Neurospora crassa OR74A: one gene and its partner. The protein of the gene in region 1 interacts with the protein of each later gene in a biochemical or structural test. Links are inferred from orthologs where the notes say so. Each region holds a gene or a part of one and is shown on either strand. Other genes may lie near its edges.

What was found. The genes of interacting proteins can lie anywhere in the genome.
Region 2: the proteins of NCU07011 (region 1) and NCU03018 form a complex in vitro, tested with the Saccharomyces cerevisiae proteins (2 studies listed by BioGRID, with this or other methods). The link is inferred for Neurospora crassa OR74A from reciprocal best matches to the Saccharomyces cerevisiae genes UTP21 and UTP18.

The regions. Positions count from the first base shown.
Region 1 is NC_026504.1:4,894,328-4,905,802, forward strand, and holds NCU07011 (WD repeat containing protein 36), read left to right. Parts: upstream 1-5,483; 5' UTR 5,484-5,547; coding exon 5,548-5,685; intron 5,686-5,747; coding exon 5,748-8,448; intron 8,449-8,573; coding exon 8,574-8,926; 3' UTR 8,927-9,284; downstream 9,285-11,475. Other genes in the region: NCU07010 (cortical actin cytoskeleton protein asp1), read right to left, coding at 1-2,034, 2,108-3,010, 3,069-3,714; NCU07012 (hypothetical protein), read right to left, coding at 10,469-11,475. UniProt on the Saccharomyces cerevisiae protein: Involved in nucleolar processing of pre-18S ribosomal RNA and ribosome assembly.
Region 2 is NC_026501.1:8,426,037-8,429,636, forward strand, and holds the start of NCU03018 (small nucleolar ribonucleoprotein complex subunit), read left to right. Parts: upstream 1-1,407; 5' UTR 1,408-1,693; coding exon 1,694-3,565; 3' UTR 3,566-3,600. Other genes in the region: NCU03019 (hypothetical protein), read left to right, coding at 260-413, 491-774, 838-1,149. UniProt on the Saccharomyces cerevisiae protein: Involved in nucleolar processing of pre-18S ribosomal RNA and ribosome assembly.

The sequences.
Region 1 (11,475 bases):
AGTCGTCAAGAAGGTCCTTACGGATGGTGATAAAATCGGGAGGTAATTCCTTCTTCTTGCAGAAGCTAGCTGCCCAGATCTGAGCGCTGGTAACGACACGACGCTCGCTGCTGCTGAAGACGTGGACCTCCTCCAGGATATCACGGTTCATGAGACCAAGATCACTACGCATGCTCTCACCGAGTTCCTGTGCCTGGTAGCGGGCGGAGTGTGTCGGCTCGCCGCCCCATTTCACAATGAGCTGAAGCTTATCCAGCACCAAGCTCTCCTCGGCAGCAGTGAACTTGGACATGGTAACGCCTGACAAGGAATCGTGCCTCTTGACTGGCCTACGAGGCTTGGAGTTACCGTCCTTGTCGACACTGTCACCTTCACCGGGTGCAGCATCCTCCTTGGCCTCTTGGTCAGGCTTTTCGCCCTCCTTCTCTTTGTCTTCCTTCTTGGGCTTGTCTTTCTTCCTGAACATTGGCTTTATTTGGACCTTGGTACCAGCCCATCCGCCCTTCTTCACAAGGACGTTGCGGAGTGACTTGAGCTTGACGGGGTCTTCAATACCAGCCTTCAGGGCCACATCAACAGCATCAAGTACACTTGCCAGCGCCGGCTCACCAATCAGGAGCACTTCTTCTTGGTGACCCTTGAGTAGCTGAATGAAGGGATCTGTGTGGAACGTGAATTTGTACTTCTGCTTCGGCGTACGATCAGCGTGGCGGATGACAGATACCACACCCTTGAGCTTCCAGCTAGGCTTCGGGGGAGGCGGCGGCGGTGTCTCCTCATGCTCATGCTCCTGTTCAGCAATAGCGACAGAAGTGAGCGAAGGGGTAGTGGGCAGCGTTGATGGCGCTGTGGGTGGTGCACTCTCTCCGTACTGACTGTTGCGCGGGCTGCTCGGCTTGGTTGACAGCTTAGAGACAAGCGAGGTATCTGACTTGACGTGCGGTGGCGCATCGTGGTGTCTGGTGTTGTCCGACCTCTGCTTGTCCAAGCTCACCTTACCCTGGGCTGCCGCCAACGCGCTGAGTTCCTTCTCCTTGTTCATGAGAGCTGCGCGAGCGGCAAGAGGATCAGGCACCTCGGAGATGGCGGGAGACGGGCACGGCGAAGGTATTCCACCCCTGCGCTGCCTCTCGGCGATAAACATTTCCCTGAGGATTTTGGCGCACTGGTTGTAATAGTCCTCATTATCTTTGACGAAACTCCAGCCGTTCACGTCAATGACATAACTCTTGCCCCCCGCCCGCAATAAGTCGAAACCGCAAACGCGTTGTCCGAAGGCTGTGCTGATTTTGCTCGCAATTTCCTTTTCCTCGTCGCTCAAGGCTGTGACATAGCGGACCTCTTTTCCATGCGTGTTTCTTCGCACGACGCCGTCCACAACAGGGGACTTGCGAGTCTCAGCGTGGCAGTATGTTGGCCCAACAGTATACGCTTTCACGTCCTCGGCATTGTCGACCTGCATGAACTTTTCGTAAATGAAACTCTCGTCGGGCTGAGTGATGCACCTGGGCACGTTGAGATCCTCCACATATTCACTGCTCTTGTTGCCGATCTTGCGGAAAAGCTTCCTTGCACCACCGCCAGCGTAGGAAGGAAAGTAGATGATGATATTGTGGTCTTCACCGCTCGTAGGCTTCTCGACAAACGGCTTCTTGATGAGCGTTCCGTCGACAGAGAGAACATCGCCGTTTTCGAGGAGCTCGATCTTGCGCGGCGCGACCTGCTTGGCGTACTCTGGATCCGTATTAGTGGGCTCAAACTGTACACCGCTGACGTCCTTGATGAGCTTGCAAATTTCGGGGGTCAACAGGTGAGGGCCACCGTCCCGGTTCACTTCGATGCGCTGAGGGGTGGGGACATTGATGCGGTCCAAGAGGCGAAGGCAGAGGCGGCGGTCCCATAGTATCTTTTGCATAGGGACATCGTTAACGCAGAAGGGCTTGCGTGCCTTGACGTAGGCGATGGCCTTGTCAAGGGGGAAGCCGTCCGAGTAAAAGGAGATTAAATAGTCGCACATGGGCCAGTTTTCGACCTCTGCATCACCACCCAACAGTTAGTCATTGTTCCTCGTCCATGATGATGCGGCAACAGCGCAGGGTCGACGCACCTTCATCAAGAATCACTTTGTCGCCAAAGACACAAACATCAAATTCGCCGTTCTGAATCAAGCGGTTGAGGATATTCCTGCTGGGCTTGCTCCTCGCCTTCACGTCCAAGGCACACACACCGATAACACCGTAGGGCGCAGGCTTGTGCTCCTCCTTGGGAGGCCGGTGTTCATGGCCTGATACCACTCTTTCACCATTGGGACTCTGATTTCCGCTAGCAGCGGTACTACCACTGAACCTGCGCTTTGCCCTGCTCCTTGACCTGGGTGGAATTGCGCGCGGTGTGGGTGGTGCGGGTGGTGCGCCGTTAGCAACAGCCGTGTCCACAGGAGCAGGAACACCGTGGCCGTGGGCCTGCGAAGTATGGTGATGGTTTCCCCTGCTCTGGCCATCCTTGAGCAAGTCGCCCATCTGCTGAAAATGCGATTCCCGCGGCGAGAGCTGGTGGGTGCCTGGCGCGCCTTGGCTTCCCGTGGTAACGGTGGTTGTCGAGACGCTGGCTTCTGCAGTCTGGGCGGTGCTGGCAGGTGGGATGGCTCCCGATTTGGAGGGGGCGGAGGAAGACATCAAGCCTGATACCACTCGGGCAGGGCCGGTGGCGCCGCTGGTGCTGCCGCTCTCGGAACTGGGAACCCCACGGGCCGAAGCTAGAGAGTATATGGACGAAATACTCTTTCGCTTGTTGCTGTCTGACTGGCTGTACTCGAAGCCAAAGAAGGACGAGTTTCTGCGGCGGGAGTGGTAGGGGTATTCGCGTTGGGTGGGAGTAGTGGGATTCTGCAGAGCGGGATCGGGGAGTTGGCGTTGTTGTTGTTGTTGTGGTGGTGGTGGTTGAGGTGATTCGGCGTTCGTGTTACCGGTCCCGGGGCGTAGACGGGGAGTCTCCGAGTCTTCGATCGTAGCTGAACCGGACGGAATTAGTGATGACGGTAGTGGAGCAAGAATGATTATGACTCTGACCTTGATTCTGGCCGTTATCGCCGGCGGCCAAGGCGAAATCTCGGGGAGAAAACAGGGGTGGGACCGCCGAGGCGCTGCCAAAGCTGCCGGGCACATGTACTCCACCACCCAAGTCCGAGTATCCTTGGCTGTTATTTGCGTCGCTCCAGGCGTCCGAGATGAAGGAGCGGAACGAATTGGACGATTCGCGGCGGCTGTGCGAGAGCGAGGCGCGCGGGCTCTTTGCTAATGACGACGATGCTTGTGGCAGGGCGACGGGAGGGGGCATCGACACATTGGCGCGATCAGCATGAACAGATTGGCTGCCAGGCTCAGAGTACCTGCTCTTTCGGCTAGCTATGCTGTTGGTAAAGGAAGAGGCGAGACTGTGTCGTCGTTTGGATTTTCCGGTACTTGTGATGCCGCTGTCACTGGTGATGGGGATGGCGCCAGGGACTGCGATGCTCGACGACGGTGTGCCTGCCATGTCTTCGGCTTCTTCTACAGGCACGTCCAAGCCGCCGGTTGCTGCTTCTGATGTCGCGACAGGAGTGTCTGGGTCTTGGTCCGGATGAGTGGAAGAGGAAGCTTCGGAGGCGGAGGACGGCACGCTGTCGGCGGACACTGGCGTACGATCGAGGGAGGTGGGTTCGAGGTGTGCTTCCATGGCTCCTGCGGGAAGCTGCAGGTGTGCAGCCTATGGATTTATATATCGTCGGCGATAGCAGTGGCAGTGGTGATGATCGGCTAGACTATTGTGATGCCGCCCAATGGACTCGATGTTGGGCGTCGCTTGGATTGGGAGAAAACGGGGAACTGCACTTCTTATTTGGTGGATGTCTAGACTAGACTGGACAGCTCCTCAAAGCAAATAAAGGATAAAAGAAAAAGGAAAGAAGATAGAGGTTAGAGCGATTGGGCCCCAATGGCTTTCAAGGTCCCAACTGAACTAAGCAATTGATAACCGCAAGTGTTTCGACGACGGGAGATGGGGATGTCAATCTGTCTTTGATCCTTTTCTTCTTCCCTTTTCCCCCTCCCTCTAGCTCCAGATGGATGTTTCAGTTGTCATCCAAGCACAGCTCATAAGAACAACATGTAATCATCAAGAAAGCCATTGGTACACAACTGGACAAAGGTGGATAGCTTTGTGGCGACACGAGCAGAGACAACAGCTAGGTAGGTAGCCCAAGTTGGGATGATGCCCAAGCGTTGTTTGCGCGGGGAGGGAGAAAGGAAAAAAAAAAAAAAAAAAAAAAAAAAAAAAAAAAAAAAAAAAAGAAAGAAAGCAAGAGGGAAAGGCGGCATGTGGGCAATTTCCATAAACGGACCCGGTAGTACCTACTAGTCCCAATTCTGAACGTCTACGTGTAAGTGCATCTGGATCCCACCATTAGTTCATTCCCTTACACCGGAGTTTTGGTAGCTCATGGCAGAAAGGCTGGCACTTTCTCGGGTACTACATGGCCATCAACCGAATGAATGGTCGTTAGAATACACTTTTCATGCTACCTTTGGAAACTAGACTAACTCTCAGGCAATTTTGCATGGAGAAATTCCCAGGTAACTCTGGCTGATGTCTTTTCGACTTTTTTTTTTACCATCCCTCTCGAAATTCTGTGATGGCCTTTCCTGACTAAAGCGAGCCGTGTTGGACTGTCTAATTCGGTTATATTTACAGCCACTTCGTCGTCATAACTGGAGGTCCAGTCTCTTTCGTCATTGGCGTGCTTGGATAGACACAGGAAAAAAAAAACCTCTCTAGTGATCGACAATGATGGACACCAAAGAGCCCATTGCGCGTTGACTACTGGTACCAGAAGGTGGGTGTCATGCCAAACTAAACCCTTGCTGGCGCCCTATGATATACTGCGATAGCCGCAGAGAAAATCCAGAAGAACGCTGAAGGTGGGTGTCATTGCGAACCGTATGCCGTGGTACCTCTATGGGTGGACGACCTGAGGTGGGTTCGATGGACGGGATGATGACGCCGCAGGCAACCTAGCATTTCGACGCTGAAGCGGACAGGGGATGGTGATGCTGTGCTGTGCTGTGCTGTGCTGTGTTTCACAAGCAAGAGCTTTTTCGCCCAGTTGGCGGGGCAGATGGAGGTGTGGGGTTTACTGCAGTTTGGAACACAGTCTCGACTTCTGCGATGATGGGAAACGGTAATCCCGGTAACTGAAAGGCTGCAAAATGCGGCCGGGATCGCAGGAGGTTCCTACTATGCAGTACACAGATACACAGTGCTGGATTTAAGCTCTGTGGGTCCTAGCCAGACGGTGGTCCCACATGCGTCCAGCTTTCATGCTACCCCACATGGCGAGGCAGACCAATCACATGAAGCTCCCACTTGCCTGCCCCAACCGACCCCAAACTGTGGCTGAAAATTTCTGGTCCACCGCGACAAGGCTACTATTATCGAAATCTTCAAACTGCGACTTTCAACAAGGCTTTGCAACTGAAAGGCATTCGCAGACATCGTGGTAGTTGGCAGCATATGCCACTCGACGACATGATGCCGCATTCCGATCGCGAAATCACATCCGCCAAGCGGCAGAAGCTCAATGCCTCTGTCGTCAAGTCCAAGGCGCCTCAGAAGAAGAAGAAGGGTTCCTCCATCTTTGCTCCCTTCAGAGTACGTCCCTAATAGCCGGTCGCATGAAGTCCTCAAACTAACACCAAACTCACCACTCATAGACTGTAGGCTTGGTATCTCCAACAAGCGTCCCCTTTACCTCCATCCCTCTCGGCAAGACCACCTTCCAGATCACTACCTCGGTCGGCCGCTCCCTCCAGACCTATGACCTAAAGAGAGGTCTCAATCTCGTCTTCGTTACCCGCCCCCAGACTCCCGCCGACATTACCGCCACATATGCTTGGAAGGAAAAGGTATTCGCCGCTTGGGGTAACCCTCAAAATGGCGAGGCCCAAGGTATCTGGGTTTATCAGCGCGGAAAGAAGGTAGCCGAGCTTGAGCTGCCCGCCGACCTCAACCAGCCCATCAAGCAGATCCTCATCTTCGGTTCCTGGATTGTTGCATGCGCCCAAACCCGCCTCGAAGTATGGAAGTCGGCCACCCTCGAACACTACACGACCATCTTTTCCGTTGCCGCAAAGAAGGGCGACAACGAGCTCACTGGTGGCGTAGTCAACATGCCTACCTTCCTCAACAAGATCTTGGTCGGTCGCAAGGACGGTTGGGTAGAGATCTGGAACGTCAGCACCGGCAAGCTCATCTACACCATCCTTCCGCCCTCTCCCGACGCTGGATCTGTCACCTGTATGGAGCCTACCCCGGCACTTTCGCTTCTCGCCATCGCCTACTCGAACGGCCCTCTCGTCATCCACAACGTCCTTACCGACAAGGCCTCCCTCAAGTTGATGGCCGGATCCGAACACGCCCCCGTTACAAGCATCTCCTTCCGAACCGACGGTCAGGGTGCTGGTCAAGATGGTACAAAAGATGGCGTCATGGCTACCGCCACAAGCATTGGTGGAGATGTCACATTCTGGGATCTCAACAAGGGCGGCAGAGTGATGGGTGTACTCCGGAGCGCCCATAATCCCCCATCACACACCGACAAGACTGTGCGCGGAGGCATCAGCAAGGTTGAGTTCCTCCCAGGACAGCCCGTTATCATGACCAGTGGTTTGGACAACTCGCTCAAGTCCTGGATCTTCGACGAATCGCCCTTCTCGCCCGTCCCCCGTATCCTTCACATGCGCAGCGGCCATGCCGCCCCCGTCAACTGCCTGCAATTCTTGCCAACCGATTTCGATGGCGCCGAGGCCGGCAACAAGTGGCTTCTCAGTGGTGGCAAGGACAGGAGTCTGTGGGGCTGGAGTTTGCGCCGCGATGGCCAGAGCTCTGAGCTCAGTCAGGGTGCTCTTCGCAAAAAGGCCAAGAAGGTGGGTATTCTTGCTAATACCGCCCTCGGCGGCCACGGCCCGACTACATCTTTGGACGACCTCAAGGCTCCCGAAATCACATGCATCGCCTCCTCGCTCAACCGCGATGGCGGCATGGGCGCTATGCCCGGTAGGCAGGTCATCTGGGACAAGGGCAATGACAAGAGCAAGCCGACCAAGTCCGAGCTCGCTGCTATGACCGGCTGGGAAAGCGTAGTAACAGCTCATAAGAACGACCCCTGGGCTCGCACCTGGTTCTGGGGCCGCAAGCGTGCTGGTAGGTGGGCGTTCAAGACCGGAGATGGCGAAAATGTTTCTACCGTGGCTATCAGCCCTTGCGGCAGTTTCGCTCTTGTTGGCTCCGTTGGTGGTAGCTTAGACATGTTCAACCTCCAATCCGGCCGTCACAAGCAACGCTTCCCCTCCCGACTCACTCCCGCCCAGATGCGCCAGTTGAAGATGCAGCAACTTAAGGCTCTCGACAAGGTGAGCCAGCTCGAGAAGCGCGCCTCCTCCAAGACCTCCTTTGCCCCCGGCTCGGGCAAGCACACCAAGTCCGTAACCGGCATCGTGGTCGACCCGCTAAACCGCTTCGTGATTTCCTGCTCTCTCGACGGCACCGTCAAGTTCTGGGACTTTGTCACGGGCAACCTAGTCGACGAGATTGACTGGGCGCCCATGGTGCAGATCACGGGCTGTCGCTACCACGCCGGCAACGATCTCATCGCTTTCGCGTGCGACGACAATTCGATCCGCGTTGTCGACATCGAGACCAAGCAGACCATCAGAGAGTTCTGGGGCTGCCGCGACACCATTAACGACTTCACCTTCTCCAACGACGGCCGGTGGATCGTGGCCGCCTCGCAGGACCGCGTCGTCCGCGTCTGGGACCTGCCGACGGCTCACCTCATCGACGCCTTCCGGCTCGAGAAACCCTGCACCGCCATCGCCTTTTCCAACACGGGCGAATACCTCGCCGGCGCCACCGAGGGCGAGCTGGGCGTGCACATCTGGACCAACAGAACGCTGTTCAGACACGTGCCGACCAGACAAATATCCGAGAAAGACATTGCCGAAATCTCGGCCGGACCTACCAGCTCAGGCGAGGGCGGTCAAGGTCTCATCGAGGCGGCCTTTGAGGATGAACAGGAGGACGAAGAAGATGAGGGCGTGTCTGCGCCGGTCCTCGATCAGCTCAGCGCCGACATGGTGACGCTCAGTCTGGTGCCCAAAAGCAGGTGGCAGACGCTGCTGCACATTGACCTGATCAAGCAGCGCAACAAGCCCAAGGAGCCGCCCAAGGCGCCTGAGAAGGCGCCCTTCTTTTTGCCTTCGCTCCGGGATGGGACGACGAACCCACTGCTGTTGACGGAGGGCGAAAAGAAGGATGAGGAGGAGAGCCGAATTTCGAAATTGACGCAACTCGAGACGACAAGGACGTATCAGACGTTTACGGCAAAGTTGTTGGAGGGTGCCGAGACGGGTGATTGTAAGGTTTTTTTTTTTTTTTTTTTTTTTTTTTTTTTTTTTTTTTTTTTTTTTTTTTTTTTCCCTTTCTTTTATTACTTCCCTTTTTTCATCCGGTTTATTTTACTAACCATCACCGTTTGATAGACACCCCCTTCATCACCCACCTCAAATCCCTCTCCCCCTCCACCGCCGATCTCGAACTCCGCTCCCTTTCCATCGGCGGCCTTGATCCGGAGTCTTCTGAAGATAGCAACGAACTCCTCCACTTCATCCGCGCCATGACGCAACGCCTCGCCCAACGCCGCGACTACGAGCTCACGCAAGCGTGGATGACGGTCTTTTTGCGACTGCACTTTGACGTGATTATGGAGAGCGAGACGCTGCTGAAGGAGTTGGGCAAGTGGAAGGAGCAGCAGGAAAGGGAAAAGAAGCGGTTGGATGATTTGGTGGGCTACTGTGGTGGTGTGGTTGGGTTCTTGAGGAGTCCTAGGACATAACCATAGACATGGGTCCAGCTTAGTCTAGATGAGGGATGGGAAAGGAGGGAAGGAAAAGGGAAGGGAAAGGGAAAGGGGAAGGGAAAGGGAAGGCTTGCATGATGGCTACCTATGAGCGAGTGAGTAGCTGTAAAAGTCGGTTGGGATTGTGGAACATATGATATGAGCGAATCCGATCTATTTTTGATAGTATTTACATTATGGGTCTTTTTTTTTTTTTTTTTTTCTTTTAAACAACTAGCCCATGTTTATCTCTTATTTGCTAGGATGGATGGATGGATGGCTGGATGAATGGGAAAAATTGGGATAGATAAAAAGTGTTATCGACGTATACCTAACCAATACCAGTACATCTATCTCTCTTGTCATGTCACGTCAACTGAATCTACTATGGTACTTCCTAACTTCCTCGTCTGAATTTGTAAAACGGTTCGGTTCCCTATGAAAGGTATGGTACCTAGATAAACGCATTGCGCGATTAGAATTGTTATGTATATATTGTTGTTGTTGTTATTCATTATAAAGCTGAGTGAGTGGTTAGGTCTGTCTGTCTGTCTGTTTGTACGAGTCCCACCACCGATGTTTCGATATCAAACCAGATGAAATACACGTATCGGGATGGTTACCGACTGGATGCAAGACATTTATTGCGCTTGATGAAGTAAGTAACTTAAGTAAGATACTCTCGTCGATCGAGTTATCGATCGGCTATGAGTTACGTTAGATACTTACGTGGTGCTTGGTAAATGGTAGTACGGCTGGGTCCCTTTTTTTTTTTTTTTTTTTTTTCCTCATTTCAGGTAGTCAATAAATAACAGAAGTTTCTCATCCTCCCTCGTTTTGTCTCAATTATCTCGAGACCTTCTGGAGGTCGTTGTCTCTATGTTTTCAGTTTTGCCGACCGTCACCAGAACCGACCGCGTAACATCGGATAGGTAGTTTGTGGTATCACGGGATGATGCCAGGCAAAGTTAGGAAATAATTCAACGACAGTATAAGACATAGACTATGCTAGAAATGCTAAATACGCAAATTCAAAGATAAATTGCTGTTACTATAGCTGCCAATCAGTGTGTCTGTGATTTGTTTTGATTTATATGTATGGGGGGAAAACTTATTATGACTTCGAGTTCAGTAGTGCGTGATGACTTGTAATAAAGACAAAATTTCTCCCACCACCCAGCATCATCATCACCCCACCTCTCACAGAAGCTCCCTTCACTTCCACCCACTTCCTTCTTCCGTCGCTGACCCCTCTTATGACAACCAAGCAAACACGCAAAATACTTACACACAAAAGAAGGAGAGAGAGAACGTTGGGGCAAAGAAGAACAGCTGCATGCAGCAGCTGTAACTTCAAAGAACCTGATCTTTTCTCAATGCCCGCAGCCTTCTCACCTTGCAATTACCACTCGCCAAAACACCAAATACACTACCGATTCCACTGAATCGCTCGACTCTCCTTGCCTCAGTTATGGACAGACTCTCCTCAGAGTTCAGCGTCGTCAATGGCCCATCACCGGTCGATGAGGAATCCTAATCCTAGTTCCCTCCCTCCCAGCCGACCCAGCTCCTGGGCATGACTCTCCAAATCTTGACCTCACCACTCCTCAGATCATCAAGCTTGAAGCTCTCGACCTTGACCTTCTTGCTCTCTCTACCCTGCTCCCACACTCTGACCTTCTTCTTGGTGCCATCCCACTCGGCCACGATACCGACGTGGTCTGGCTTACCAACCTCCATGGTATACTTGGCATGCATGGCGCCGTGCTTGCCCTGGAACTTGGCGTTTCTGACGGAGATGATGTCGCCGGGGCGGATCTCGTCGTTCTGAGTAGTGCTCGCGTTGGCCAGGTTGGAGTACACCAGGGCGCCATAGGCGCGCGTGCCGACGGGCAGGAGGGCGTCCTTGAAGGGACGGAGGAGCTCGTAGATCAGTGCTTGGGGAGTACCGTCACCGACGACGGTTTCCTTCTTACCGGACACGGCCTCGCTGATAGCCCGTCCGAAGCGCTCGTAGCTCTGCTCAAGCTGGTCTTGACGCAGGGTGCGGGGAGGGGGTTCGTGGCGCTGCTCAAGTTCGACGTCGGACGGGTCTTGAGAGTTGAAGCGAACGGTGATCACGGTCTGGGAGTAATCCTGGAACAAGACGTAGATGTCCCGGGTGACAATAGTCTTACCAGAGTGGGGGTCAGACGCGGTAGACTCCTCAGACTCAAAGAGGATGTCCTTGCGTCCGTGAAGAGGTGGGGGGAGGCTCTTGGGCTGTAGCCACCAAGTCGACTGGCTGGCCAGGTCGATGTCGTTAGCAACGAAGCCTGATTCCATTGATGGCCGCGTCAAATCTACAGACCGCCGCAAATTTGAACGCGAGGTATCCATCGACTGCCGGGTCGACGGGCGGCCACTACCGGGCGGCGCCAGGGGAGGAGCCCTTGGATTTTGAGGGGTCCCGTGGAAAGGGGTCTCAGGAGAGTATGGCTCAGACGGAGGCGAATTAGGCAAAGGGAAGGACGGTATCGACGATGATCCGTGAGTCGGCGAAGAAT
Region 2 (3,600 bases), on another chromosome or scaffold:
CACGGCAGTATCTTGGAAGCTTTCTGATTTCCTTATTACATACTTGTGCTTCCCTTTCCCATCTCTTATCTTCTCTCCTTTTCGAAAACGTCAATCTGAAGATCTTTTCATCCATACGTTAGGTTAGTTAGCTGTCTGTCTTATCCAGGATACGCCCAGTTGCTGTCCGGTCTACTCCTTGACAAGTGCATTTTTCTTTTAGCTCCCTTCGCATTCCAAGGACTTGACCCGCCGAGATCGTTGAATCACATTGCTGAGAATGACACAATCATTGTCTCTCGCTGTGTTTGCAGCTGCGGCACTTTTTGCGACTAAGGGTCTTGCGAGCAACTTTACCGTTAGCAATGGCCAGATTTTCACCCCTGGTTTTGTTATCGTCGATTCCCCCCAGCCGGACACGCCTCTTGGCGGAGGTTAGTACTATTAGTACCCGGCTGGCTGTCGGCAAAGGACTTGAGGACTTGCTACTAATAAGCTTCAACTTGTGTAGACAATGTCGAGATTGCGCTCGATGTTTCTGCCAATGGCAAGCTTCCTCTACCGCCCTACGGCGACGACGCTTCCAGCCAAATCTACAACATCAACATCTTCCTTTACAGCTACGTAACGGGCCGAAACTTGACCATCACCAACGGTACTGCGTCGGCCAACAATGCCACACTCGGTGATATCATGCTCTCCGAGCCTGGTAGCACCGTGAAGCATGTCCGGTGGACATGGCCCGACTGCATGGTTGGCGATGGTACGAATGGGAACGATCGTGGCAGTTACAATGTGGGTTTTCCAAATAGTCAGCTTAAGAGTGTGTTGATAGCCATTTCACTGACAATTCAAAAGATCTCCATCCACCAACGCTTCAGACTCAATGGCGAGAACCACTACACGATATTTGATCTTCCCGTCTCTGTGACCAACAGCATCAGCAAAAGCGACGACCGCCCGTCTTGCCAATCACTTGATAACCCGTTACTGGCGCCCGAGGACATCGATTGGACAGACACTAACGAACTCGGCGCCCTCTTTGCTCCTGGTGATTCGACGGTTATTGAGACGTCGAATGTTGGTAGTGGTGCTGGGCTGGCGAGCTGCAAGCATGCACTTAACTTGTTGTGTGTGGTGGGCATTAGCTGTGCTCTGTTGTTAAGCTAGGCTCTAGACTTGCTTGTCGTCCAATAATCAAAAAGGTGGCTGTGAGATGACATAGAATCATCTGCAAGGATACCAAAACACCACGTACTCTTCATGCATATGTTCTTTTTGAAATCATATATTTGCTCTGCGTGGCTCATAATTTTAGTACTAGTTCGTGTCTGGTCAGATTTATTGTCTTCGAATGAGTTCACATAAAGTCATCTTCATCACAAAGATATTGTTAATGAAAGTAGCATTGAGGCATCAGATAAGTTTAATATATGTTTATTTTTTTACTTTTTTTTTTGTAGGGGTACTTCAAACTTATTCCTTGAACAAGGCTGGCGTGCTTGTGATAGCAAGTGGGTCCAGATTAAGTGGGACAGGATCTGCGATCTGCAAGGCTGATAACGAAAAAAAAAGTTCCCAACCTCAAAACAAACCAAACACTAGCGACTGGTCGTGGCATTTCCGTCCATTTCAACTCCATTTAACCAGGACCGGATCTCACAGCAAAAGTTCCCGTTACTGGGCTTTGCGCAATCTCCTAAATCAGAACAAAATGGCGCCACAGACGAAAGACGAAGTTTCCGACGACAACGAATTCGTCGGATTCGACGAGGAGAGCGATGAGGAGATGCACGACAATGATGGCATGTCAGTAGACGACGACGACGAGGACGACTCCGATATGGATTCAATTGCCGACCCGAGGAAAAAGTACGATATTGAAGAGAAGGACTCTGACGAAGAAGACCTCGAACGATTCGTCTTGGGCAATAACGACACCTTCCGCGCCCAGCTTTTCCGCGACGATTTCCTCGCCGATATTACCGATTCCAAGGCTCTCATTAGGACCGACAAGCAAGATGACACGACTGGCCTCGAACATGTCGACGATAACGCCCTCTTCGCGTTCGATACTGGCGTTCCCGGTAATAAGAAGCAGACAGAGGCCGCGCCCTCTGCGCTAGAGGCTTACGAGCAGAAGGAGGACCCCCCAGCGTGGGAGGACAGCGATGACGAGCGGTTGACAGTATCCCTTGCGGCTGCCTCGCGGTTGCGCAAGCTGCGTCAGTCCGAAGAGGAGGATGTCGTGAACGGCACCGAGTACGCGCGCCGCCTGCGCTCGCAGTACCTCCGACTATACCCCCTTCCGGAGTGGGCCAAGGAATCCTCGGCCGCCAGCCAGCGCCGGAGGAGAAGATCTTCAGCCGCCGGTTCCTCCTCCGAGGAAGACAGTGACGCCGAAGACGACATCGAATCCGCCCTCCCTCTCGAGACCTTCCTCCGCGACGTCAACTCTTTCAACGCCAGCGCCGATGCCCGTGGCAGCAAGCGCCGCAAGCTGCGCCCCGAGACCATCGACATTCAGCGCTCGCGCGACATCCCCGACATTCACAAGCAGTCCGTCAGCTCGTTGTCCTTCCACCCCAAGCACCCCATCCTGCTCTCGTGCAGCGTCTCCTCCATCATGTACCTACACCAAGTTGACCCGACCGCGCACCCGGTTCCGAACCCGGCCCTCACGTCGGTGCAAGTCAAGCGCACCGACCTTCGGCGCTCCGAGTTCCTCGGTCCCGATGGCGACGACGTCATCTTCGCCGGTCGCCGGCGCTACTTCCACAGCTGGAACCTCTCGTCGGGTGCCGTCAAGAAGATCACCCAGATCCAGGGCCACCAGCGCGAGCAGCGTACCATGGAGCACTTCCGTCCCTCGCCCTGCGGACGCTACCTGGGGCTCATCGCCTCCGAGAAGAAGGGCGGCGGCATGATCAACATCGTCAACGTGCGCACGATGCAGTGGATTGCGCAGGCGCGCACCAATGGCCGCGGCGGCATCTCCGATTTCGCCTGGTGGGGCAACGGCAACGGCCTCTCCATCCTCGGCAAGAACGGCCAGGTCACTGAGTGGAGCATGCTCAGCCGGCGCACGGTCGGCGTTTGGCGCGACGAAGGATCGATCGGCGGCACGGTGATTGCGCTGGGCGGGCAGAAGGGCACCGGCCCTAGCCAGATTGGTGGCGATCGCTGGGTGGCTGTGGGCTCGAATAGCGGCATTATGAACATTTACGATCGGAATGATTTGGTTGAGCCTGTTAAGAAGGAGGGTGGTGCGTCGGCGTCCAAGGAGGAGACAGTGCAGATTAAGAGCATCCCCACCCCGCAGAGGACGTTTGAGCAGCTCACGACGCCCATCTCAGTGGTGACGTTCGCGCCGGACGGTCAGCTATTGGCGTTTGGTAGCTTCCACAAGAAGGACGCGTTAAGGCTGGTGCACTTGCCTAGCTGCACCGTTTACAGGAACTGGCCTACGGAGCAAACGCCTTTGGGTAGGATCACTGCTGTGGCGTTTAGCCACCAGAATGGTGGTGATGTGTTGGCGGTGGGCAATGATGTGGGCAAGATTAGGATGTGGGAGATTAGGAGCTAGATCTGCGCATTGTGTAGTGCGTTGAGTTGGCGATA